Linked DNA regions of Cricetulus griseus. The protein of the gene in region 4 interacts with the protein of the main gene of each other region in a pairwise test. Links are inferred from orthologs where the notes say so. Each region holds a gene or a part of one and is shown on either strand. Other genes may lie near its edges.

Evidence for each region.
Region 1: the proteins of Tnik (region 4) and Dpysl2 interact in a two-hybrid assay, tested with the Homo sapiens proteins (2 studies listed by BioGRID and IntAct). The link is inferred for Cricetulus griseus from reciprocal best matches to the Homo sapiens genes TNIK and DPYSL2.
Region 2: the proteins of Tnik (region 4) and SWI/SNF-related matrix-associated actin-dependent regulator of chromatin subfamily E member 1 interact in a two-hybrid assay, tested with the Homo sapiens proteins (2 studies listed by BioGRID and IntAct). The link is inferred for Cricetulus griseus from reciprocal best matches to the Homo sapiens genes TNIK and SMARCE1.
Region 3: the proteins of Tnik (region 4) and Gse1 interact in a two-hybrid assay, tested with the Homo sapiens proteins (2 studies listed by BioGRID and IntAct). The link is inferred for Cricetulus griseus from reciprocal best matches to the Homo sapiens genes TNIK and GSE1.
Region 5: the proteins of Tnik (region 4) and Clu interact in a two-hybrid assay, tested with the Homo sapiens proteins (2 studies listed by BioGRID and IntAct). The link is inferred for Cricetulus griseus from reciprocal best matches to the Homo sapiens genes TNIK and CLU.
Region 6: the proteins of Tnik (region 4) and Pafah1b1 interact in a two-hybrid assay, tested with the Homo sapiens proteins (2 studies listed by BioGRID and IntAct). The link is inferred for Cricetulus griseus from reciprocal best matches to the Homo sapiens genes TNIK and PAFAH1B1.
Region 7: the proteins of Tnik (region 4) and Agtpbp1 interact in a two-hybrid assay, tested with the Homo sapiens proteins (2 studies listed by BioGRID and IntAct). The link is inferred for Cricetulus griseus from reciprocal best matches to the Homo sapiens genes TNIK and AGTPBP1.

The regions. Positions count from the first base shown.
Region 1 is NW_023276807.1:221,889,561-221,893,768, forward strand, and holds the start of Dpysl2 (dihydropyrimidinase-related protein 2), read right to left. Parts: upstream 2,801-4,208; coding exon 2,459-2,800; intron 1-2,458.
Region 2 is NC_048600.1:113,358,705-113,362,204, reverse strand, and holds part of SWI/SNF-related matrix-associated actin-dependent regulator of chromatin subfamily E member 1, read right to left. Parts: intron 1,351-3,500; coding exon 1,178-1,350; intron 476-1,177; coding exon 374-475; intron 1-373. UniProt on the Homo sapiens protein: Involved in transcriptional activation and repression of select genes by chromatin remodeling (alteration of DNA-nucleosome topology).
Region 3 is NC_048596.1:197,195,858-197,199,357, reverse strand, and holds part of Gse1 (genetic suppressor element 1), read right to left. Parts: intron 2,407-3,500; coding exon 2,293-2,406; intron 1,607-2,292; coding exon 1,235-1,606; intron 248-1,234; coding exon 1-247.
Region 4 is NW_023276806.1:120,727,922-120,731,910, forward strand, and holds the start of Tnik (TRAF2 and NCK-interacting protein kinase), read right to left. Parts: upstream 2,801-3,989; 5' UTR 2,393-2,800; coding exon 2,336-2,392; intron 1-2,335. UniProt on the Homo sapiens protein: Serine/threonine kinase that acts as an essential activator of the Wnt signaling pathway. Recruited to promoters of Wnt target genes and required to activate their expression. May act by phosphorylating TCF4/TCF7L2.
Region 5 is NW_023276807.1:220,972,902-220,975,116, reverse strand, and holds the end of Clu (clusterin), read right to left. Parts: intron 2,188-2,215; coding exon 1,958-2,187; intron 1,163-1,957; coding exon 987-1,162; intron 726-986; coding exon 716-725; 3' UTR 501-715; downstream 1-500.
Region 6 is NC_048600.1:88,139,100-88,142,599, forward strand, and holds part of Pafah1b1 (platelet-activating factor acetylhydrolase IB subunit alpha), read right to left. Parts: intron 1,966-3,500; coding exon 1,881-1,965; intron 1,641-1,880; coding exon 1,566-1,640; intron 654-1,565; coding exon 447-653; intron 1-446. UniProt on the Homo sapiens protein: Regulatory subunit (beta subunit) of the cytosolic type I platelet-activating factor (PAF) acetylhydrolase (PAF-AH (I)), an enzyme that catalyzes the hydrolyze of the acetyl group at the sn-2 position of PAF and its analogs and participates in PAF inactivation.
Region 7 is NC_048596.1:278,623,116-278,627,263, forward strand, and holds the start of Agtpbp1 (cytosolic carboxypeptidase 1), read right to left. Parts: upstream 2,801-4,148; 5' UTR 2,722-2,800; coding exon 2,671-2,721; intron 1,376-2,670; coding exon 1,312-1,375; intron 507-1,311; coding exon 360-506; intron 1-359. UniProt on the Homo sapiens protein: Metallocarboxypeptidase that mediates protein deglutamylation of tubulin and non-tubulin target proteins.

The DNA.
Region 1 (4,208 bases), on a different chromosome or scaffold from region 4:
CTTGAAAGCCTGAAGACACCCTCTCAAGAGCTAAATCTAAGTAATGACCACTGATTCTGACAAAACAATGAACCCCTGTGCTTTCTGAAGTCACCATCATTATACATATACACATACTCTCTCGTGAAACATGAAAAATTCATACAGCATAAGCACCACACTGGGTAAATACCCCTGGTTATGAATGACAAGATCCCACAGGAATGCCCCTTTTTTGATAAATGTGAGAGGGGCTGTAGAAAAGCCGAGCTAACCTCTAGAACCTAATGAGCAGGAAGCTGAGGCAGGGATGGCTTTGCAGGGGCTAAAACTAAGGGTTTAGCCGGTGCTTTTGTCTTCAAATTGTCCCCTCCATGTTTCCTAGATTTGCAATTTAGAGTTTCTGTTAAATTTAGGGTATGCTCCAACAATCACTCCTGATCATCCTGCCTTTTGGTGTTATTATGCTGCTATTGTTATGCAGGTCACTTCATCTGTTATTTTTATGTGTTCTCTTGTGGATCCTCCAGGAGTGGTGCTATTCCCTTTAAGCTGTTGGAGTGACCTGTACATCGTGTCTGACTTGAGAGTGCTCACTCAACCTTGGTGCTATGTGGTCTTGACTTTCGCCAACATATTCCCATAAGGACTCATTTTATACTTACCCCATCTTCAGTACAAAGTACAATATTGAAACACTTGGGTTAGAAATGTAGCTCAGTGATAGGATGCTTATTTAGCAGACACTAGTCCCTGGGTTCAGGCCCCAGCATCACAAAAGAAAAGAAAAGATAAACACATAGATAGGCAATAGGTAGATAGACAGACAGACAGACATATGGAGCCGATGGTCATGGTGGCTCACATCTGTAATCCCAGCACTCTGGTGGCACTGGGATTGTCATGAGTTCAAGTCCAGTCTCAACTACAGAGTGAGATTATTTTTCAAAAGAGAGAGACAGAGAGAAAGGAAGGAAAAGGAAAGAAAGAAAAGAAGAAACTTTTTACTTCAATTGATCACTTGGAACAAAACAAGCTTTTGGGATTTAGACTCTGGTTGCCTCTTAGTGAAATATAAATTTAAAAATCAGAGGATGGGTGGGTGGATGTAAATTAAGTGTGTGTGTGTGTGTGTGTGTGTGTGTGTGTGTGTGTGTGTGTGTGTGTGCTAGAAGTAGTCCTAGAAAAGACAAAAGCTAGAACACTCTGCTGCGTCAGGAAACAGGGGAGTGGTACCCTAATCATTGCCCCAGAGCTGCTCTCCGAGGCTTTCTCTGTAGCATACAATCTGAATGCTAAGCAAGTCCCACAGCGAGTGTGTGCAAACTGTCCCCAACTTCCCAGTGGCTGTCTGGAAGGAAGCACCTTTAGGACTAACCTCCCTGCTGCCCTAGAAGGGAAGGCACATGGGGATTCAATATAAAGTCATTCATAGATTGGTGTCTTGTCTTCACCACTGGCATGGGAGAGAAGCAGCAATCGAGCATTAAGGCACTGTGTACTGTAAACGATTAGTTGAGACATTAAAGCTGTGAAAAAAATATACGAGCATAAACGTCACCCTGAAACGGAGGAAAATGTGTGTGAAAAGACCACTGGACTTGAAATGTGCACTGATGGGATTTACTGGACCATGTCAAACATTTTCTATGACCACGGATAACCAAGCTAGACTTCTTTGTCTCGACATTAACACAATCAGGGACTCTTGTCTTCAAATGCAAGTCTTCTCCTCCCACCCTCTTTTTTCCTTTTCTTTTTGGCTCTTTGAATATAATCCACGTAGTCTCTCCCCATTCCCAAAGTGCCTCCCAAACAGCACCGGGGAAGCGCTCTGGGAAGCCCTTGCCGAGACACTTAGAACTTTGTTCTCCACATGGCTATCTAGCTTTTCTCGGTGACATCACGGCCTCCCCAACTCTTCACTGGCTGTGAACCGAGTTCAGACGCTCAGGGCGCTGGCCGTGGTCCTGACCTCAGAGCTCAGGACCCTGGTGCAGAGCACTCCCAAGGCGGAGACCTTGACACTCGGAGGAGCCATATGAGCCCCTTCCCCTCCTCGACCCCAGGGAAGTCGTCTGGCCTTCACTGCAGCCCTCCACTGCGCTCTTTGAGCTGCATCAAAAAAGGGTGGGGCACTGAGCCACAGCCGCAATCCGATGCCACCCGGGAGGATTTAAGAACAGCACAGTGGTCCATCCCAATCGCCACTCGTCGCCTGTAGCCTAGGGATCAGCTGGTCCCTGACGCTCCCAGGCACGGGGAGGCGAGGGCAGCCTTTGTAGGCGCTGAGACGCCCACCGGCGAACCCTTGCCTCACCGCACCCTGCGCGGTGAAGGGGCGGGCAGGGCGCGGTGCGCGTGCAGATGCGAGAGGCAGAGCTCCAAGCGCCGCGTGCCCGCCGCCACGCGGGGATGCTCGGTCCTCCGCGAGATGCCAGGGTTCAGCCCCGCTCTCCGCTCCACCCCCCATACCAACCTGATCGTAGATGTTCTGCAGGGCTTCCTTGCCCGAGGCCCGCCGGATCTCCACCTTCCGGCCTGATTCAACAGATGGCTCCCCGCTGCCACGCCGGCTCTGCCGGTGCGGGTCCGGGCCCAAGTGGGCGACATCCCGCTGCTGAGCCACCACCTGCCCCGAGCCCCGGCCCACCGAAAGCGAATCGAAATCAATGGTCTTGTTCTCCGAGGACCCCTCCACCGGGCAGAACATGCCACAGAATTTCTGCCGGGGCTTGGGACTGCCCGAGCCCAGGTTTTTGAAAAAGGCAGGGACCTCTTCGTCCTCTGCCGCCTTCCCAGATTGCTTTCTATCGGCCATGGCTCAGGGGGCGCTGGGGAGGGTCCTCTCCGTCCTTCCGTCCGTCCGTCCGTCCGTCCGTGGTTCCCTAAGTCTCCCTGGCTGGGTGTGCACTAGCCCCTCGCTGCCGCCGCGGCTGCTGCTCCCTGCCTACCGCAAGGTGCACAGAAAGGATGGAGGGCTGGCGAGCCGGCGACCCACCCCTCGCGGTCCCTCCTCCTGACCCTGCTTTCTCCCTCCCTGCCCACGCCCCCCGGCGCCGCCGCGCCACCTCCGAGCGAGCGGCAAAGTTAGATCTGGGCGGGCGGTCTCTGCGGCAGAGGATGCCAGTTCCCGGCAGCACGGGGCGGGGCGGGGAGGGCTGAACGCGCGATCAGAAGGGAGGGGAGACGGAGGGAGGGACGGAGAAGGGAGGGTACTAGGGGGTGGGGGGCACCCGGAGCCCGCGCTCCGGAAGTGAAGCGGCCACTCCACCCGCTAATGGATGCGCAGCGGCCGCCCAGCAGACCGCTCTCGGCGCCAGGGTGAGTGTCAGACAGCTACAGCTGGGCGAGGACCGGGGGGCGCAGACCCTGGCCCCGAGTCCCTCTCCTCCACCTGCTTCGCTTCATTGCTAAGGTGGCTCTGGAGCTCCCCTGTCCCCGGGTGTAGGCTGAGGGTTGGGGGAGCCAAGGGTCAAGCCTACAGGCGCTGGGATGTTATGACGCTGGGGAGGGGTGATCCTGGAAACAGCAAGGGCTGGTCTCAAACACCCAAGTACCCGACACCAAAGCTTCAGTTTACCCACGACCTTGGCGGGGGCGGAGGAGGACTTCAAGGAGCGGAGAAAAAGGAAAATATTCTCATTGCTTGAAGCTGCTGTGGTCGGGAGGTGGGGCTCCCAATATGGCGGGGACGAAAAAAGCAGAGGGGCGTAGCGAAAGGGAGGGATGACCCGGAGAAAAACGCAGGCCTCTTGTGCATGGAGGAGCATAGAGAAGAATGCAAGTTGCGGATCGTAGCACTGCGCCTCAACATAGAGACTGAGAACCCTCAACATTATCTGAAAGTCCCATGCCCTGCAGGTAGGCCACTGACCCAGGAAAGGAACAGGGGGATTTGGTATCTCCCACCGCTACACACACACACACACACACACACACACACACACACACACACACACGGTTACCACCGCCCCCACCCAAAATGGTTGGAGCCTAAGCAGACTGAAGCCCACTCCAGACACATCTTGTTTCAAGGCGCCCCGCCTAGTTCCCCCGCCCCTGTTGCACACTGCGCCAGTGCCCGGCAGTTGCCAGATGAGGCTTCTCTAGGGCGGCAGAGCTTTGCGTTAAGGGTAGGGGTAGATCGCGTCTTAGGGGAGGATTACATGCTGTGAATTATTAGCAGCCAAAGTGTGTGGGGATTTGAGGGTGTGTGCTCGTGTTCG
Region 2 (3,500 bases), on a different chromosome or scaffold from region 4:
AAGTTTTTTTTTTTTTTTTTTTGAGACAGGGTCTCTCTAAGTAGACCAGGCTGGCCCTGAACTCACTGAGATTCTCTTACCTCTACCTGGGATCAAAGGTACATAGCACCACCCCTAACTGAACTACAGTTCTAATGAAAACATCTATGAATAAATTACAATAAAGTGAAAATAATTCACGATGTAAAGATTTTAAACAAAAGCATTAGCGGGCTCTATTGTCTGTGGGCCTACTCCTTAAATGTATACTACACGATACCTCAAATTTATTGTAATTTTTCCAGAAAATGGGAACACTTTTATAAAGACAGTACAAGTTACATTGTGACGTAACAGGCACATGATAAAGGCAGTCAGTGAATGGAATAGGTACCCTTTTAAGCTCATTATTAAAGGAATCCGTGCTTTCCAGGAATTTCCTCTTCTTTTCCTGGTGTCGCTCCTCTATCTGAAGGAGTTCAGCTTCTAGTTTTCGCTGCAAGGTATCAGACCAGATTATGAACCATTATACGTTTTCTCTAAGGCAGATGTAAAGCACACAGAGAATGTCATTTTAAAATTAGCTTATGCTTTAAAGTACACTTTTGTATTTTTAATTATGTGTATGTGGTATATACACAAGAGTAGGTGCCCAGGGAGACCACAAGAGGGTGTTGGGTTCCCAGGAGCTGGAGTTACAGGTGGTTGTGAGTCACCTCACACAGGTTCTGGGAACTGAACTCAGGTTCTCTGAAGAGCAGTATATACCCTTAACCACTAAGCCATCTCTCTAGCCCACTAATTTTGCATTAAAAAAAAAAATCATCTAGTATAAAATCTAGCTATTATTTTAAAAATGTAACACAGGGAAAGACTACCATTAACACTATGTTAATGAGTAAATTCTTTGGGAAAATCATTTTATAGTAATAGAGCAAAGGCTGATGGGGTGCCCCCAAATTCTTTAGTTTGCACCCATCTTTTAAAAGATATACTTGTCACTACAATGTTATATTTACAATTTTCAATGACAAACTTACTAAACATCTGGAATGGCCCTCTCCCTTAAGCTTCTTTCTCAAGTCAGGCACGGATGACACGACTTCACAGGTTTACTTACACACTGTGTCAGAGCCATGTCACCTGGGATGTGTGGCACAGCTTCCTTTTATTATAACAAAAGCTCTTCTGCCCTTACCTGATGAACCATTAAAGACTGGACCTGTCTCTTGAGGACCTGCATTCTAGCTGTTGTGACAACCGACCGCACATCAGGCACCACACTCTCACTGAGGATCTCACTGATGAGGCGGTGGTTTCTCTGGAAACGGGCGGTGGCTGTATGCTTCATCGAAAAGCCATCATCATAATCTGGATGAAGGAAATATTCTAGAAATTAGGTAGCCAGTAACCACAACCATGTTAAGAAGCAGTTATCAAGTGTGGTCTTCAATGTCCTAGCAAGTGGACTTGCTCAGTATCAGGGGAGTAGGGCAGGTCCACAGTTAGAACCACACAGAGACAGAAGACTCAGCCAGCTGAAATGTTGTCTCCATAAAGTTAGTAAGGCAGGATTCACAACCCATGGGTCACAACCCCGGGTTGGGCACCTGAACGACCTTCTCACAGGTTGCATATCAGATGTCTGCACTGTGATTTGTAACAGTAGCACAATTAGTTATGAAGTAGCAACAAAATAATTTTATGTTGGAGGTCACAAAATGAGGAAGTGTATTAACAAAGGGTTGCAGCATTAGGAAGATTGAGAACCACTGTACTAAGGGATGATTTGAGTCTGAGGTTTGGTTAGAACACAAACAACATATGTCCATATCTCTTTTAGCCCTGGGATCCATGTGAAGCCTGCATGTGATGACAGCACTTGAAATTCTGCCAAATATTCCACTCTCCAGTAATGACCGCAGACATCTGATAAATGCTGAACTGTAAATAGGTGGTATCTTTATCACAGCTGTTAAAATTAATGAAAATATCCACCTGAAAAATTAGCTTATCACCATCTTCTCTAGCAATATTTTGTTTTCCAGGCAGTACTTATGGTTTATTACATTAAAAATGGTAAAGACCCAAACTAATGTTATAGAAAAAACAACAACTTGATTTCAAGGCTAGGAGAGGGTTCACTTGATAAAGGGTTTGCCAGGCAAGCACGAGGATCTAAATCTGGATCCCAGCCAGCATTAAGGAAATGCTGGTTGTGGCAGATTTCAGAAGGCTCTAGCTAAAACAGCAAGTTCTAAGTTCAGAGAAACTCTATCTCAAAGTAAGGCAGAAAAGAAACTGAGGAAGCAAACTGACTCCCACATATGCCCACAAAAAGGTGGAGACTGAGGAAGAGACCCAACATCGACACACACACGGACACACACTACACACTCAGAGATACTTGAGTCTAAATTTATAAACATGCACATGGCTGTTACTAGGCACAGAGTAGACATTTGTGTTATTTTGGTGTGTGATGCATGCATGCCTGTTTCAGCCTACTGGACCATCTCTTGAGCCCAGGGTGTGATTTTTTTTTTTTTCTTTTTTTTTTCTGACACAAAATTTACTGTGTAGCCCAGGCTGGCTTTGAACACTCATCAGCCTCCCTGCCTTAGTTTCTAAAGTGCTGGGATGGCAAGTGTGTACTACCATACCCAGCATGTATGCGTATTTCTAGTAACACAAGTGTTTCCTTTATCTGCTTTATCACCTTCAATACCTGGTAGCCATCTGTACTAATAGCTACTTAATATTTTTCTTTACATTAACTCACTAAACAAAGCAAGTTTTCCATCCAATATAGATAGAAATAAAGGTTGTCACGGAACCACCCAATCCTCTTAGTGTCTCACAGAGGTCTAGGTGTCACGCTTAAGGAACCCAGTTACACAAAGGCCTGCACGTTGAACATAATGGTCTCTGAAGACCTTTACCGTCTTGGTGAATCAAGCTCTGCCTTGTGGGCCTTCTGATAGTTCTCTAAGAAGTTAGCAGATGCTGTCCTCATCTCTTGATGAGTGGCTCCTATCTTTCGGTTTTCTTTACATTTCTACTTTTCAAGTCCTAGAACAGTGGTTCTCAACCTATGGGTCTTGACTCCCTGGGGTGGGTGGGTGTGTGTGTGTGTGTGTGTGTGTGTGTGTGTGTGTGTGCGCGCGCGCACGCGCGCATGCGTGCGCGTCAAAGGACCCTTTCACAGGGTCACATGTCAGATGTCCTGCATATCAGATATTTATATTACAATTCATAACAATTATGAATAACAATAACAAAATAACTGTAATTCAAAATTACAGTTATGAAGTAGCAATGAAATCATTTTACGGTTGGGGTTACCACATAAACTTTACTAAAGGGTCAAAATGTTAGAAAGGTTGAGAACCACTGTCCTAGAAGGTCATATTATATCAATACAGCTTAATTATTATATTCCATGTTACTGCTCATGTAAGAGCCTTTCAAACTTAGTTTTGACTGTTACATTTTGCTTAGGAAATATTTTATTTTCTACA
Region 3 (3,500 bases), on a different chromosome or scaffold from region 4:
GCCTCAATCCCTTGCCACTGGCGCCTGGGGGCTTCCTCAGCTTCCTCTTCACTGTCATCTTCATTGTCCTCCTCAGAGTCCTGGTCCACCTCCTGCATAGGGGGACCCTTCCTCCCAGCTGGCGGCTCCTGTTGTCCATTGTGCTGGGGCAAGGGAACCCGGCTGGAGGACTGCAGCTCAGGAATGTTGTAGTGGACTGACGTGTCGACCTTGTGGTTCTGCTCTGCAGACAGCACAGCTGAGCTTCCTGGGGAGGAGAAAATGAGGATCTTGAAGGGCAGGGCTCAACTGAAAGTCATCCATGGAGACAAACATGCACCAGAGTTCCGATCCCATGGGCACATCTGTAACTTTGTAAGCACAGCCTCCTTCATGAGGGCAGGGCAGAGGTGTTCCCTGACCAAGACATGGACTGTCCCTCTAGAAGGAGATGGCTCAGTCTTGCTGGTGGCCTCACTTGAAAACTATTAAGCAACGTGTCCCTTAGATGCCACTTCAAAGAGCCTGTCCATTTTAAGGAGCAGGGAGCAATCTGCTGCCTCTGGCCAAAGCACCATCTTTCCAATAAACTCACAAAGACCCAGTTAGCACCTCTCTCCTGGGGCTTTTCCTCACAGGTGAGGCAACATGAGGCCAGAGGTCAACTCTGGTTTTCTTCCTCTATTGCTCTCCTGTTTTGTTTAGTCTGGCTGGCCAGCAAACTTCAGGAATGCTGCCTCCGCCTCTAACCAGCCACCTGAGCTCTTGCCTTTGCTTCCTGGGCTCCAGCAGCAGAGTCAGCTCAGTGACACACTCTGTCTGTGAGCTTGGTATGAAGCCGTTAACATGGACTGGAGGGCATGGTGACTGAATTATTCCTGCTGGGGGAGCAGGGCAGGAAAACTGCTATCCCTACAATCACTGGGCCCTGGGGGGATGGACACACAGTACCTTGGCAACGAACCAGAAAAGATCTCCAAGTGAGTTTATGTGGTTGTTGGAAAGGTCACTGCTGTGGACTGCACTCGCACAGAGGACACTTGCTCTGGCCTTACTGAACTGCCATTTGCTAACTAAGGTGCGTGGTTCTTGACCAGGTGCTTTAGGTCCTGCTACAAGTCTGAAAGAAGCTGAGGTTCACCTCACCCACTCCCATGCCCAGTGAGACCTTTAATGCTTTACAGGCATTAAAGTTTAAGAGGTACTATTAATACGTGAATGGCCTAACAGGTGACGGGGGCATGTGGCCTGTTACCTTTATGTTTCTGCAGAGCCTTCTGTGTGGACTGCAGTACTGACTCATGGAACTGATGTGCAAACTCTTCTGCCATGAAGGGTTCCCAAGGCTTGCTCTTCCCATTGATGCTGTGGGACAACGGCACAGGAATGTCCTTGGGCGCAGCGCCCCGGAGATAATGAAGCATGCTCAGGTTCTTCTTGCCCCCGGGGGCCTCACTCAGCCTGGCCTTCTCACCGCTGGTAGGCGCTGGCTCCTGGACCCTCAAGAGCTCCTGAGGCCGGAGCTGTTCCAGTCTCCCAGTCTCCACGGCCTTTGGGACATCTGACAAGGAGGCAGGGACTCCGGCAGGTTGATCTGTCTCTAGAGGAGCTGGCTGTGTGGCTGGTTCTTTGAAAGACAGAAAATGAGGGAAAGAAAGGTTATAAGTTGTGGAAAAACAGGCACAAGGACCCTGTTGACCGCTAGAGCTTACATCTGCAGAAAGGAAGACCCAGTGTGAACATCCTATGTTAACACTGCATGAGGCTAGAGTCTGAAGAGTAGCATGTTTAGCAGCAAGTCCAACTGTGAACAGTTCCCAGAAGACAGGTGGGGAGAAAGAGCAGCAGGAAGCGCTGAGAAGGCAGGAGTAAGTAACTTCATCCAACTTAGGGAGATCAGGTGAAGAGGCAGCAAGAGATGGGACCCCAAGGCTTCAGCTTCCTTCAGCTGGAGAGCAGCAGAGAGGAGTAAGAGAGCAGGTGTCTGGAGAGCCAGGCAGGGTCTGTAGCACAACCTCCGCTGGGGACAACACTCCAGGGGCTTCGGGCCCATTCTCTGGGGGATGACAGCTACGGCCCGCAGCTGATGGGCAGCTCCATGAAGTCAGCGCCCTCCCCTGAACTTCAAGCCCACTTTCTAATTTGCATTGTGTCCTAAGGCACAACCAGGATGGTGGTGGACCACACAAGAGGGTTGGAGAGAAGCCCAGCTTCCAGTAGGTCAAGTTCACCACGAAGACAAGACTTTGAGTGCCACTCTAACCCTGTGGCGCAAGCTACAGGACACTTGAGGGTGGGGTGTCCTTCCCTTACCACTCAGGGAGATGGAAGGACTGTCCCTCGAGGAGTTTGTCACTGAGTCTGCCACTGCTGCGGACAGTGCCCTCTGCTTCATGGCACGGAGCATTTCAACAAGCCTCTCTCTGTCTGTGAGGAAAGTAGCCCGAGGTTAGCAGTACTTCTGGGAGGGAGGAAAGGCGGGGTCTGGCCACCGTGATCAGCAAGTACAAGCCCTTTACACCAAGAGGCACCAAAGGCAAGCACCATGGCTGGCTGTGCAGACAGGAAGAAGCAGGTGACAGCAGCAGACTCTTTCCCTGCATGGCTCACACTCCAGGCAGCCACATCTATAGCCATGAGCAGCAGCTGCCTGGGGGCTTCCACGCTGACTTCCTTCTTAGCAGATAATCTGGTTTGAAGACCAGGGGTGGCCCCAACACAAGGGCACCACCCCCAGAGACCAGGAAGGGAGCCATTTCCCGCGAAGGAGAGCAGACCCTACAGTGCTCCATGCCGAAGATTCCCGTTTAGGTGACTCTTCCTGCCAACTCTGAAACTTAAGAGGCTTTAGTACTGATGGCGTCCTTTAGACACGAAGCCAGGTGAAAAGTCGGGCTTGCAAACAACTAGGCATGTGTCCAAGGGCTTGTGCTGGCAGTCAGCCCGTCACCAACCCTTGCTGGGAAAGTGAGACCTCCACCATGCTTGTTAAAAAAACGGAAAAAGGAACTGCCAACTCCAATAAAGAGGAAGCATGTCAAACCAACTGAAGACCTAGAGAGGCACTGTTTTCCTGGAACTCTTTGTGGAAGAGGCCAGTGCCCTTAAGGGGCCCAAGACATACAGGAGCATGGCTGTGTACATCAATGCTCTAGCCCACGACGGTGGCAAGCTGATCAAGGAGGCCTCAGCATGTTGTGGCCACACCGTGTCTTCTATGCTATGGATTCCAGTTCCAAGTCTCTTTTTTCCAACATGGCCCTAGGATAGCAGACTGATCTGGAAGCATCTTTCTGGGCAAGTTGTTGAGTGCTTACTGTGAGTTGGCTGGGCTTGGTATTCACAGGCCACCCATATGGCTTGCTCTCCAGGCCTCCTAGCATTAAAAGCAGTGCTCCGTAGAGCTCACTGGTGTCCCCAAGGGGAAGGGCCTGTGGTATGCAAACCTTTAACACCCTACAACAGGAAGCAACACCTCCTCTCAGTCCTAGTGAAAGCCCTGGAAGTACTCTGTTCAAAGA
Region 4 (3,989 bases):
TAGCCCTGGGAGGCAAACGTACCTGCACGCCTCACCCACCACAAGACTGCCTGAAGCTCCAAGGCCTGCTGAGTACAACTGTCTGCCCATCTGCAGAAGTCTTTCAGCCATCAGCTCCCAGGCACAGGGAGTAGCTGTTGTCCTAGCTCTTTGCATACCCCAGTGAAGGCAGAGGATCCTTTGAGCTTCCCAGGTGACAAAGAGCAATCCTAGTGAATCATGCAAAGATACCTGTTCCAAATACAGATTACAGGACACAGGTCTCCCTGAATGAGAATCTAGTAGCCCTGAGGACAGGTTCTGTGCGCTAGGCATCTCAGAAAATCTGGCCCACAGGAGCCATACACCCGCCCCCCAACTTAAAAATCATGTCAGGGAGAATGATGCTAAGATTCTGTCTCAGCTAAATCACAAGCCTGGCTCATTGTTCAGGCAGCTACCACTTGGCCACTCCTCCTTCCCCAAGTCTGGGCCACTGGTCCAGGCAGAAGTGGAGCAAAAGAGAGCACAGTGATAAGAGAGTCACACATGCACTGGCCCAAAGCACCCACTCTGAGCCCCACCCCCACACTCAGTTGCCCCCTGGTTGCGGATGTGGCCTTTGGGCACTAGAGGAACGGACAGCCTACTGTAATCATGCATGAATGAGCTTTTGCTGCTCCACTATCACTGCAGCCCGCAGCCGGTTTCAAAGGGCAGTCAGTCAGTCCTCAGCCTGCCTCTCTGAATCCTCCACCTTTCTGGACCAAAAGATAAGGAAAGGGCCAAGGATTCAAGGTGTGGGCGGAAAAGTGGCTCTGAGCCTAAGGAAAAAGTATCACTTCAATCAGACAGGTAGCTACCTTTTAAAAATGTCTGTAGAGAAAGAGGTAACTGCAGGAAAAGCTTCCGAGACACAGGTAAATGGCCTCGAGATTAAGCATCATCAATCTAACAATGTGTTCAGGAAGATCACTCAACTTCCACCTATACTGACAGTCGGTGACATGAGCCACCATCCCTTCAGTCTCACCTACCCTACTGGCAACAAGCATATGCATTTGCTCTTTATTTTATTTTTAGTTCAGGAGAGGAAGAAACTAGTCGTACTGAGATTGGTGTCCAATCTTTCTCAGATCCCTGCTGCTGCCACCATCACCACCCCTCCTTACCCCCTTCCTGGCAGGCAGCATCTAATTAAAATGGCAAGAACGCTGGGCTCCCTTCCCCGAAGGAGTGTGCTGGGATTAGGGGTGGGGGTGGGGAAGCGTCGAAGCTGCAATGGGGTTCCTGGCAGTATGATCTCCAAACAACAGCAAAATGGATTCTAGATCACTAAAGTCTTATTCAATACAATGGAACGACGTCTGAGGTGTCTCGGAAGAAGGTAAAGGCAAAGCGGCAGAGTTGGGGGAAGGGAAGGTGTTCTACAAAGGACTGGTCACAGACCCGGGAACCACACACACACACACACACACACACACACACACACACACACACACACACACACACGCACACACAGTCTCTCCAGGGAGTTCCGGTGTGGTAGGGAGAAGCTGCTAAAGCGTCCCTTTCACCTGCTGAAGTTCAGCCATAAAACTGAAAGGTCACAGTCACCGAGTTAGAAAGGCATAGGCAGGGCTGAGTTCAAACCGCAGATAAAGGTGAGTGCACCCTGGCGTCGAGGGAAGCGCTGAGCCTGAGCCCCCGCACCAGAGGCAGAACCCGGGAGGGGTCAGTTGCCATCTACTAGACCAGCCCGGAACAGCAATTACTGCCCCCTTGGAGCGACAGGGTCGGCTGGTGGAGACAGCTAGACTCACGATGGCATCTTGCAGGTAGCTGGCAAACCTGAGAGGCCAGTGCCTTTATTCTTGAGGAAATTCTTTTTGCAGCAAAGAGCAGTCGGGTCTCGAGCCTTGGCAAGAGACAGTTGCTCGGGTACACACACACACACACACACACACACACACACACACACACACACACACACACACACACACACACACACACACACACACTCCTTCCATGTAATTCTCTTACACCAATCGAAGATGAAACTGACATAAGCTCCACCGGCTTCCCTGCGGAGCCTCGGGAAGCACAGTCGAGGAGCACAAGGGCAGCCCAGCCCCTGCTGTAGGGTAGGGGCTCAGCCTAGAACCCCATCCGCTGCCCTGGAATCAGGATAGGAAGACCGGGAACGTTCCCTCGCCCAGCCCCAGACCATTGAAAAGAAAGGGGGGAAAACAAACAAACATACACACACACACACACACACACACACACAAAAAAAAAAAAAAAAAAAAAAAAAAAAAAAAAAAAAAAAAAAAAAAAAAAACCACGTTCTGCTCACCCTCAGGGCGGAGAGATCGATTTCATCCAGGCTGCGAGCTGGGGAGTCGCTCGCCATGTCGACTCTTCGCGGGAGAAATGGACCAAAACCAGCCAGAAACGTCTGCCTTGGCAATTCCACCCTGGTCTATGTCGCTCGCGTCCTCATGCGGCTGTCCGCCAGAGAGGCCCGGGGCCCAGCCTCCCCCGCCCACCCGGGCCCCAACCAGAGTGAGATCCCGATCTTCCGAGAGTGTCGATCCGCGGGATCCCGGAGCCCGACCTGCGCGGATCTCCAAGCCCGGAGCCGCGGTGCGTGTGGGCTGCGCGCCCTGATCGGCTAAGGGCGCTGGGGCTGCGTGGGTGTATTTAAATGGGACATGCTTCTTTGCTTGTGCGTGGATGGCGGCTGCATTGGCTGTTATAATGAGACATATCAACTCCTCCACTCAGCTGGGGGGGTGGGGGTGGAGAACCACACAGAACTGTCTATCACCGCTTCCTGGGAGGAGTGGGGGGGAGGAGGCGTGGTCTCCGACTGGGGAGAGGCCGCGCTTCCTGACCGGGTCCCTCTGCACTAGCCTGGGTGGGGGAGGGGCGCGCACCCTTTCCGTCCCAGTTTTTGCGGGTTAATAGTGCTGAATCGAAGAGCAGATCTTGAACCTCGCTGTACAGAGATCCGAAGGCTATTTTTTAATGTGTCCAATTTGTGCAATGCACCAAAATGGCCCTTCGATCGCATCTTGGGGTTTCTTGACTGGATTCAGATGCTCTAATAGTGTAAAGGGTGGTGAGGAAAGGCAGCGGGAAAAGACAGCAGCGTCCAGCCTCCTCCATTAATTATTTGTGGGGCTGGAGTAAAGGCGGGCCGGTGCAACCGGTGCATATAAGGACTTGTGCGCAGGAAAGGGGATCCGCCTCCCCGCACAGAGCGGGTTGGGGAGAAGCTTACACGCGCGGAGCGCGCAGCCTGGCTTTGGCGCTGGGCAGTGGCCGCCTGGTCTCGGTCCTTCGCGGTCCCTGAGTTTCAGGAAGGCAGGTCCGTTTCATCCGTAGTTTTCTCAGCTGGGTGGGTTGGCCAGAAGGTGGAAAGCCTGGAGATGTGAGCTCCGTCTCGACATCGCCACACCCAAGACCTGCGCGTACCGCAATTCCCCATGGAAATGACCGAATTGAAAAGCAAAGCTTGCTCCTTGGGTGCAGTAGCTGGAAGGCTTCAGGTGACTCCCAGAACGACATTAATTGGGCGACACTCCGCCGCCAAAGCCAGCGTTTCCTTCTCTGCTGCTTTTCCCTGGTGACCTACCAGGATTGATGGGGAAAGTTTAGCTCAGAGAGAGGAAGAGCTGACATGTTAGCAATTTGACTTCACCTGCTTTTTAACTCAAACGCTGGGTGTTTGCAGTGGTAACAGGACTTTCTGTTATCAAAAATGTGAAATCACTTCCCCAGCCCCCACAGACCTTCCTCTCTCCTGGTTTGGCCACGCAAAATACGTTTGAAGAAGACATTAATACTGAACTCTCTCCATTCCCTTCATCAATAGCTCCTAGGGTGTTCCTTTCACATCTAAGACAAGAGAACAAGTGCATTGCATTGCGGGTTTGGGTTTTTACTTTGCTTTTTGTTTTGCTTTCTTTGGGGGTGGGGGAAGGACCTCATGTACTTTAGCGTGG
Region 5 (2,215 bases), on a different chromosome or scaffold from region 4:
TGGACAGTGCTGTAATAGGAAGGAATAGTTTCTGGCTTCAGGAATTTGCCTCAGTGGCTTACTGGGACATGCCTCTCTCCCTCAAAGCTAGGGTGTCACCCCTCCTCTGCCCAACTGCCATGATGAGTATTATTTACTCTCCACTATATGGTGGGACCTTACAATCTCAGTCCTTACTCTGAAGGTTTCTTTTGCATGCGTGTGGAGCCCAGAGGTCAACCACGGGTGTTGTTCCCCCAGTCCTTCTCTACCCATGTGTTTTGAGATGAGACCCGAGGCTCACCAATCAAGTGAGACTGGCTCACCAGCAAGCTCCAGGGCCCTCTTTCCTCCACCTTGACCACACTGAGGTTACAAGCATGTGCCATCATGCCTGACTTTACCAAACTCATGTTCTTGACAAGCACTTTACCAATTGACACATTGATTTCTTTGTTTCTTCCCCACACCAAATGAAGGCATGCAGCCAACAAGAAAATCAAGTATGAAAACAGGCCGGGTGACACAGATCACAAGGCGGCTTTATTGGATTAGTTGCGTGGGGGAAGTTCTTCCCAGAAGCAGCAAGTGCAGGCATTAGAGTGCAGAATCCAGAGGAAGGAGAGGCTGCTGGGGTCCCGGCCTACTCGCCTGGAGACATGCGGAGCTCTCTAGGGAGCTGAGGGGGGCCTTCACTCCAAGAGGCCCCCACATACAGGAAAGCAATGCTTCTGTCTCATTCCGCTCTGAAGAAAGGGAATGGAGAAGAGAATCAATATCCCCCCAAGAAACAGCCACCTACACCCACATTCTTACCACCAAGGAAAAGCATTTCCCAGAGCAAAGAAAGGAAAATTCCCAGGGTTTACGTAGCTTACAGAGATAGGCACTGTGCCCAGAATGCACACTCTGCTCCTCGTCTGGACTCCTGAGGCCTTTCCAGCCTCCCAGGGTCTGAAAGGCTTGTTTATCAGTCCCTTAGGGTCACAGAAAGGCTGCCTACTCACCGGCTTTTCTTGCGGTATTCCTGTAGCGCTTTTTCCGCCACTGTGTCCATAAATTTAGGGTTATCCTTGGAGACTTCTTCTGGTAACACCACTGTGATGGGGTCAGAGTCAAACAGCTTCACGACCACCTCAGTGACACGGGAGGGCTCTTCTGAGTTATTAGAGTGGGTTGTCACCTAGGCAGAAGAAGGCAAGCAAGACGTCTCTACACAATGTCTCGAGTATGCCCTTCTTTGCCAAAGGATATGGATCTTCTCTTTGCCCCCTCAACCAAAGACAGATATTCTGTTATCTGTCACTAGTCAAGATGTCTAGACAATTCAGAGCAAAAACATCCCAGTTTGAAAATGACCAGACATTCCAGAAACTTTATTCTCAAATGTTTTCTTGTTATCTTGTCTTATTTCCTTGTTTTTGCTTTGTTTGAGACAGAAGTCTCACTACATAGTCCAGCTGGTCTCAAGCACTTCACCCTTCTGCCTCAGTTTCTTCAGTGGTGGCTTACAGCATGCCTAGCCCCAATGTTTGCTTTGTTGTACAAATGCTAACCAGTCTGTGGTTGAAAGGGTTCAGGTGGTGGGGGTGGGGGGTGGTTCCTAGCACTAAAGGAAGCTGTTCTCACTAGCTGACAATGAACCGATTCATGTGCCACTTAACACAGCCCAGGGTAAGAAAGCAGCTTTGCAGCCAGGCTGATGAGTCAATGACCCAGGGAAGTTGTCCAAAGTTCCCCATTCTTAGTAAGCTGCAGAACTTTTCACTTTCTTTCTCTTGGAAATAGGACTTGGATATCTGACCTCAAAGGGTGAAGGCATTTCAATCCTAAAACAGGCAGAGTTTCCCTAGTCCCTGCCAGTGGAAATCACAGGTGCTCTTGTGTGGTACCTCTGTCCCATTTCACCTCTAAGAGAAACATTATCTCTAGACTACACATGGGTCTAGCCTGAGCACGTGACTGGAACACTACTCACTGTGGAGACGCGAAGGTAGTACTGGTCTTCGCCCTGTGTGAGGTTGGCCAGCTGGGACACCCAATTGAACTGTTCGTTCAGCTGCTCCAGCAGGGATGAGGTGTTGAGCATCTTGGTCTGGAGGGAATGGAGCAGCTCGTTGTACTGCTGGGTCAACCTCTCAGCCATCTGGAGGGAGTCATTCAGCTCCTGGCGCAGGTGAGCCTGCGCAGGGTTGTTGGCTGAACAGTCTGTCCAGAGGGGAAAGAAACAGAAGCA
Region 6 (3,500 bases), on a different chromosome or scaffold from region 4:
CCAAATCACTAATTTATACAGTTTCAAAAAGGCAACTGCCACCAAATCTTACATTCCAAGTTTGATTTCCAGAACCCATATAGTAGAAGGGAGAAACAACTCCCATAATTTGTTCTTTGGCAATCACACACATGTAGGTATGCATACATACACAAGGAGCATGAGCACAAAAAAAAAAAACAACAAATAAACAAAAGATAAACTCAGAACTCTCCTCTACTTAGATCCTAATTTTCAAAATCTTTCTTTCACCTAATTTATATCAAGTCTGCCTTACCTGAGTGTGGCGACCCATGACTTTTAATCACAGCATTTAGGAGTGAGAGGCAGGAGGATTTCTATGAGTTCAAGGCCAGTGTGATAGCTAAGAATACTTAGACACAGTCTTTAAAAAAAAAAAACAAACAAACAAACAAAAACAAAAGGAACAAACAAAAAGAACTTGCCTTAATTGTAGCATCTTCTGAAGCAGAGACCATAACACTGAACACAGGATGGAAAATAACTCGAGTGACTGGACTCCTATGACCACTCAATGCGTATTTCTCTGGTGGACGGGGAATCCATTCTTTAGGGTCTCTTTTCTGACCAAGGGGACCACCCGACGTAAATTCTTCTTTTGCTTCATTTAGTTTTGATTCTAATTCCATAACCTTGGGGAGGGAACATGAAGTTAAAGATTCATACTATAACATATTTGGGGTTTTTTATTTGTATGTTTTCTGCTTTTAGGTAGGCTCTCACTATGAAGCTTAGGGTAGCCCAGAATTTATAATCTTCCTGTCTCAGCTCCCAAGTTCTGTAGTTACTATGCCCAGCCCAAACCATTTCACTCAAAGACAATTTTCATTTACATTTATTAACAGAGAAGATCAACACATTTCCCTGGATCCCTTTACACTTGCCATTTTTAGTGGTTTTTTTTCCCCCCTACACCACAGTTATAGCTGGGCTTGTATTAGAACAATGCTATCTATTCCAACTTTTCTTTTCTTCTTCATTTGTTTTGTTTTTCGAGACAGAGTTTCTCTGTGTAGTTTTGGAGCCTGTCCTGGAATTCGTTCTGTAGACCAAGCTGACCTTGAACTCACAGAGATCCACCTGCCTCTGCCTCCCAAGTGCTGGGATTAAAGGCATGTGCCACAACCACCCTACTATATTCCATTTTTTTATATGAAGAATATGTATTTTAAAAATGGAATAGCATTTGTTATTTATGTCTTTCAGGTTAAAAAAAAAAACTCAGAGGTAAGAATAGTTCATATGAGACCACATGTAGTGCTCTTTTCCCATTTCCAAGTAGTTGTGTCCTTCTAAGGGTACAAATGATTCCTTAAGCATCAATTTCTCTGTCAGGACAATACAAATTCAACCAAGGCACTACTCCAGGCTGTATGAGCTACTATGCATCAGTAATAACCTTAAAATCAAAGTTTTTTTGAAGCAAAGGAAATGTTCTTTTTAAGCTCAGATACGAGAATCAGAAGATTAATAATTTATGGTAATGCTTTCAGAAAATTTGTAAGAACACACTGACCACAACAACCTAAAGAAGACTTAGTTACCTTTTTTTGTAATCTAATAACAGATGTCCATTTTTTTTCCAAAAGACCAGCATACTTTTTATCTAATTCTTCATTCTAGAGGAGAAAAGGCAAGATCCTTTAAAAGATGGCTTAACCATGACATCTTTAAACTTAAACATTAAATATATGATTATACAAAAAAAGTAGAAAAATAAGTTCACTGCTAAGTAGAGCACAATAAAAAATGGCAAGGTTTGAATAGCTGAATTGACCTAACTACTGCAAATTTAAGTAAAACTCCACCCATTAACTATACTATGAGTAATTAGAAGACATTAAAAAAATCAAGTATACCATATCTAATTCAGCTTCCTTTTTAAAAACGGAATATGCCTCTTCATAGCCATTTGAACGAAGATAATCTGCTATAGCTCGATTTCTGAAAGAAAACAAATTCAAATAAATCCTAAAAATACCTCATTTCTAAATAAAGAAACATATTAAAAATCTTGGGGTTTTTTTGTTTGTTCTTTTGTTTTTTTTGTTTTTGAGACAGGGTTTCTGTTAGCCCAGGCTAGCCTTGAACTCACAAAGCTCCACCTGATTCTCTCTTTCAAATGCTGCCTCTCTCAAGAACCTGGCTATTAAAATCTATTAAAAAGAGTACTTCCTTCCAAATTATATGAACCTTTCTGGGGGGAAAAATGGATACACCTCCAAAGGTGAACACACACACATTCACTCAACTCACTCATACACAAAATAAATAAATGTAACCATGTACATGCTTGGTGCCTGAGGTGGTCAGAAGTAGGTGTTTGGATCTCCTAGAACTAGAGTTAGAATTGTGAGCTGCAATGTGGGTGCTTATCTTCTGCAGGAACAAGTGCTCTTAACCATTAAGTCATCTTGAAAGCCCCAACAATAGTCTTTTAGTTTGTTTTGTTTGCTTGTTTTTAATTTTAATTTAGTTTTATTTATGTGGATATTTAGCTTGTATGTATGTCTATGCATGTGTGTACAGTGCCCACAGATGCCAGAAAAAGGTTTTGGATAACCTGGAAGTGGAGATGCTAACAGTTACTAACCATCATGTGAGTGCTAAGACAGGTATAGCGATGCTTACCTTTCATACCAGCACTTGGGAGGTAGAGATGAAGAGATCTCTGGGAATTCAAGGTAAGCCTGGTCTACAGAGTCAGTTCCAAGCCATCCTGGCCTACCCTAACTAAAAAACAACAAAGTGCCACAAAAATGCAAAACAGTGGCAAGTAAATTTTAGGAGCAGTAGAATAAATGATTGTTATGGTATGAGAAAGTTATATAGGATTTTTTTCCATATAACTCACTGTAATATAAAAAATACTACTGTTTCTTAAAGTGTTAAAGCACATTCATTAACAAAATATTTTTATATTGAAAAAATTAATTTTAAAGTTTATTTAGAAGAACAAAAATTGTAAAAGGCCTTGAAATATTAAAAAGTAAATAAAAGTTACGTATAATAGAGTCAATCTGTAATCCAGCACTCAAAGAGTTGAGGCAGGAGTTCTGGACCAGCCTTGGCTATATAACAATACTAAAAACTACTTGGTAACTGTTAGACATTTTCCTTTATAAAAATCACAATAATCAACCCCACATAGCTTCAATATTATAGAAATGTAGTAACATAAATTACAGTATAAAGTTAGAAATATTTATATAATCATAACAGTAAGGCGGAGTTTTCGAGACAGGGTTTCTCTGTGTAACTTTGGAGCCTGTCCTGAAACTAGCTCTTGTAGACCAAGCTTGTCTGGAACTCAGAGATCCGCCTGCCTCTGTCTCCCAAGTGCTGGGATTAAAGGCGTGCGCCACCAGCGCCAGGCTCTGAAGAATGACTTTTATTTTGTGTTTTGAGACAGAGGTTCACTATGTAACAGTCCTGTCTGTCCTGGAAATCACTTTGTAGAGCAGGCTGGTCTCAACTTC
Region 7 (4,148 bases), on a different chromosome or scaffold from region 4:
CACACTGTGACACTGGCATTCTTCCTCTTTTATACCACATTCAAAACAACTCTTTATGAATCTTGTGACCCTCAGTTCTTGCTGGCTAACTGCAAAAACACTCCACTGTTAAACCCAAGAAAAAGTAGTGCTTTACATTTCAAAAATGTAAGCAGCTTAAGATTAAAGATTCTCCAGGGCAGCACTCAAGAGGCAGAGGAAGGTGGATTTCTGTAAGTTCAAGGCTAGCCTGGTCTACAAAGCAAGTACTAGGACAGCCAGATTACACAGAGAAACCCCATATCAAAAAATAAATAAATAAATATTAAAAGTTACAAAGGTGGTTCTGGATTTAATAACCATAAAAATGGAACTCTTACCTTTTGGTCCAATCTTCGCAAGAATGGAATGAGTCTGCACCATTAATTCCTCATGTGGGGGGGATTCCTTGCTGGCATTCATAAGCAGTTGTAACAATATTTGTGGACCACCTTTGGCAACTAAGAAACTTGCTCTTCGACCTCCACCTAAAATGCAAATATATATATAAATACACACACACACACACACACACACCCATATATATATATATATATATATCAGCACATCCTCCCACAGTGGGCATCATAATTAGTTAGCATTCAAAAAAAGTTTCAATCCAATCATTAATTTCTAAAACTAAATACTATCAAAATCATATTTTGTGTTTTGGTTACAGGATCCCATTATAGCCCAAATCCGCCTTAAAATTTGTGTTCTCTCTGCACCAGGCTTGCAAATGCTGGAAAGACAGGCATGTGCCACCATACTCAGCTCCTATTTTGTTCTGTTCCAGTTTTTTATCTAAAATGCAGCATACAAAAAAATAACACAAATGATACCAACACTCTAGGCTCAAGGTGCTATATAAGTGCTATATAAGTAGGCAAGGATAATTTGAGAAGTGTCTGAGGACACTGAAAAGAAAGCACTGCCCTGGAGAGATGGCTCAGTGGGTAAGAGCCTGCTGTGCAGTCGTAAGGCAATCCCAGCTACCCGAATAATAAGCTGTGGACAGGACAGGAAGGTCAATGGGACATGCTGGCTAACCATCAGGCTGAAAACCTTAAGTTCTGGATTCAGACCCTGCTCAAGGGAATAAGGTAGAGAGTAGCAAAGTCCAACATTCCAAGCCTTCCTTCCGGCATACACATATTCCCCACGCCCTGACACAGGGAGCAACAAGCTCATGATGTTTCATTTCTAAAATTTTAATGTCAAGAAACATTAAATAAAGTACATAGGACACAAAGCTGGTCACTATTTACAAGCACAAAGTAAATCAAAACTCACCAGAAGATACCAACTCCACAAGAATGCTTAGGATATTAAGTATAGTTTGAAGATCTTTCGTGTTCTGAAACAAACAGTTGATTTGCTTTATTAAAACACTATTTTCTTTATTTCAAATGTTTTAACCTGCTGGTAACTACCTATGTCTAACAAATGACCTTTCTAATTTCTTTAGGCACAATTGTATTGACTTCTATACTTTTATTAAAACTTCACTATCTTCATCATTTTTCTGACAGTTACTTATTTCTGTATGTAGAGGTAGGCATGGAGTTCCTGGGACAACTTGCACACATGGATTCTCTCCTCTCCCATGTGGATCCTGGGACTTGACCTGAGGTAACCAGCTCCAGCAGCAAGAGCTTTAACCTGCTGGGCACCACACTGAGCAGCTCACAAGCACCCAGACCTCCAGCTGCAAGGGACCCAGCACCTCCAACCTCCATGGTACCCACTCTCACACGCCCATACACACAGATACGCACATATAATTAAAATAATACCCCTGGTAGTGGATTAGTATTGTTCCCTGGTGCAAGAAGGGACTTTGAGAGCCCATCCCACGTGAAGGGTTACACTCTTGGCCTGGACACATGGGGAACGGCCCAGGCCCGGCCCAGGATGATGCAGTGGACTTTGTGGAGCCCCCATTGAGGGCCCTACCCTGCTTGGGGAGTGGAGAGGGGATGGAGTGGGGAGCATGTGGGGGCTAGGAGGAGGTTGGAGGGGAGGGGAGGGAGAGGGAGAAGGGATTGACATGTGAAACAATCTTGTTCCTAATTTGAACTAATAAAAAAAAATTTTATGGCAATGTGCCCATATATATGCACAAATATTTGTCAACTTTTTAAAATAATAATAATAATAATAATAATAATAATAATAATAATAATAATAATAATAAGTTCTTTACTAAAAAAAAAAAAAAGACAAAAATTCAAGGCCAGCCAGATGGCTCTGCAGGGAGAGGCGCTTGCTGCACCAGCCTGGGAGCCCTGACCCTCAGAGCCCACATAAAGGCGGGGGGAGGACCAATGCCACCACACTGTCCTTTGGCGCCCACATGTGCCATGGCAGGTGTGCCTTACTACACATACACAATAATAACAAATTGTTTAAAATATCTAACATGAAATTTTAGTTATTTTAACCATTGGGAAATATATGTTTACATAACACATAATAGTGCTCTCACATGTGTATGCTCATTTCAATATCCCTCCAGCTCTGTGTGTGCGTGTGTGCGTGCCTGTGTGTGCCTGTGTGAGTGTGTGTGTGCGTGAGTGTGTGCATGCATGCGTGCGTGAGTGTGTTAATAACTCCGACACTCTTCCTGTGACAGCTGGATCACTAACATACCTCTAATGTTGACAACAGAACTTCTATGCCTGTAGAACCTTTGGTTGTCATTTCCCTCCTTGTTTTTTCTGAAAGATAAAAAATAATTTCTTTAAATGTGAACCAAAAAAAACAAAAAACAAAAAAACCATAACAGTTTGTTACATACAGATGACACTGTAAACAATGTAAGCTGACTCTTGGATGTTAATCCCTCTAATGCTACTAATTCTATACTGTGGATGTGATTCCATTTTCTATTAATGAGACTTTCTCTTCTTAAATATCATGGACTATGGTAAGTCCCCATCAATCCTTCCAAAAATCTTAAAGTTAGAACTAGCAGTGAGTTGTTATGGAAGTAGAAATTATGATGGAAGGCTTTTTTTTTTTTAATCATTATGAGCAGAACTGAAAAACAGCTCATCAAAATGAGTGATAGCAGAAATCTAGGGCCACCGTCAAAATTTCCACTGCATTAATTCTAATTAAAAGTCTGAATCACAAGAGTGAACCACCTAAGGAAGGGCTACACTGTGAGAAGCTGAAGCCACCATAGCAATGACTGTCCTTACCACTGGGATGGGAACTGTGCAAATACTTGTGTTTACTCACAAGTCCCTGCATCTTCATCACAATTCTTTGATTCACAGGAGCTACTGTGCTTAACAAGAACCAAGCCCTCCCATCGCATGCATTGCACCCTCATCATTAGTCTCTGCCACGGAACAGGAGGGCTGAGAAGGGGTCTGTATCACGTCATCCAGTGAATGAATGAGGCAGACAAGGTGACTCTCAGGGCCGCTAAGCACTCTGCAGACTTCCCAGAGGAACGGGGATCATTCTTTGACACCAGCATTGCATTTGGAGGTTTGGAGCCCTTCCTACTTTTCCAGACTTGGGTATTAATGTCAGAAGTCTGTTAATGTGGGGACCATGACATTAATCTCAACATTCTGAGATCTGAAAAAAGGAAGACAAGGGATCCACCCTCAACGTGGTATATCCTCTACAATTAAGGATCAGAGACAGGAGGACTAAATTCTGTGTTTCACATGGAGATTGTCAAGGGAGCTGAGGGTTAGAGGCCTGCATGACAGGAAAACATCGACTGAAGGGGTGAGAAAGACGAACACCACACCCTTCCCTGAGGGCTTCAAGTCTCTCACATTCATCTCTCCCTCTACCGCCTTCTTTTGTGTTGATTTTTTAAAACTTAATTTAAGTTCTACTCTGAGTGTTTTCTTTAGAATTTAGTTCTGCTTCCTATCATGGCCCATGTTTGCTCAGGGGAGATGCTCTCACATGGGAATCATTAGAGGGACAAATGTATGCAAAGATCTCAGTGTAACACCGTTTGTGACAGTTATTGTATACACCAAACAGTTGTGCAACTGTCCTTAACAGTCACCTCCATCATCTCATGCCCAGTCCATATAACTGTCACAACTTGAAGAAGCCAAACCAGACATCTCCATAAATGTCATACACGTTCATAA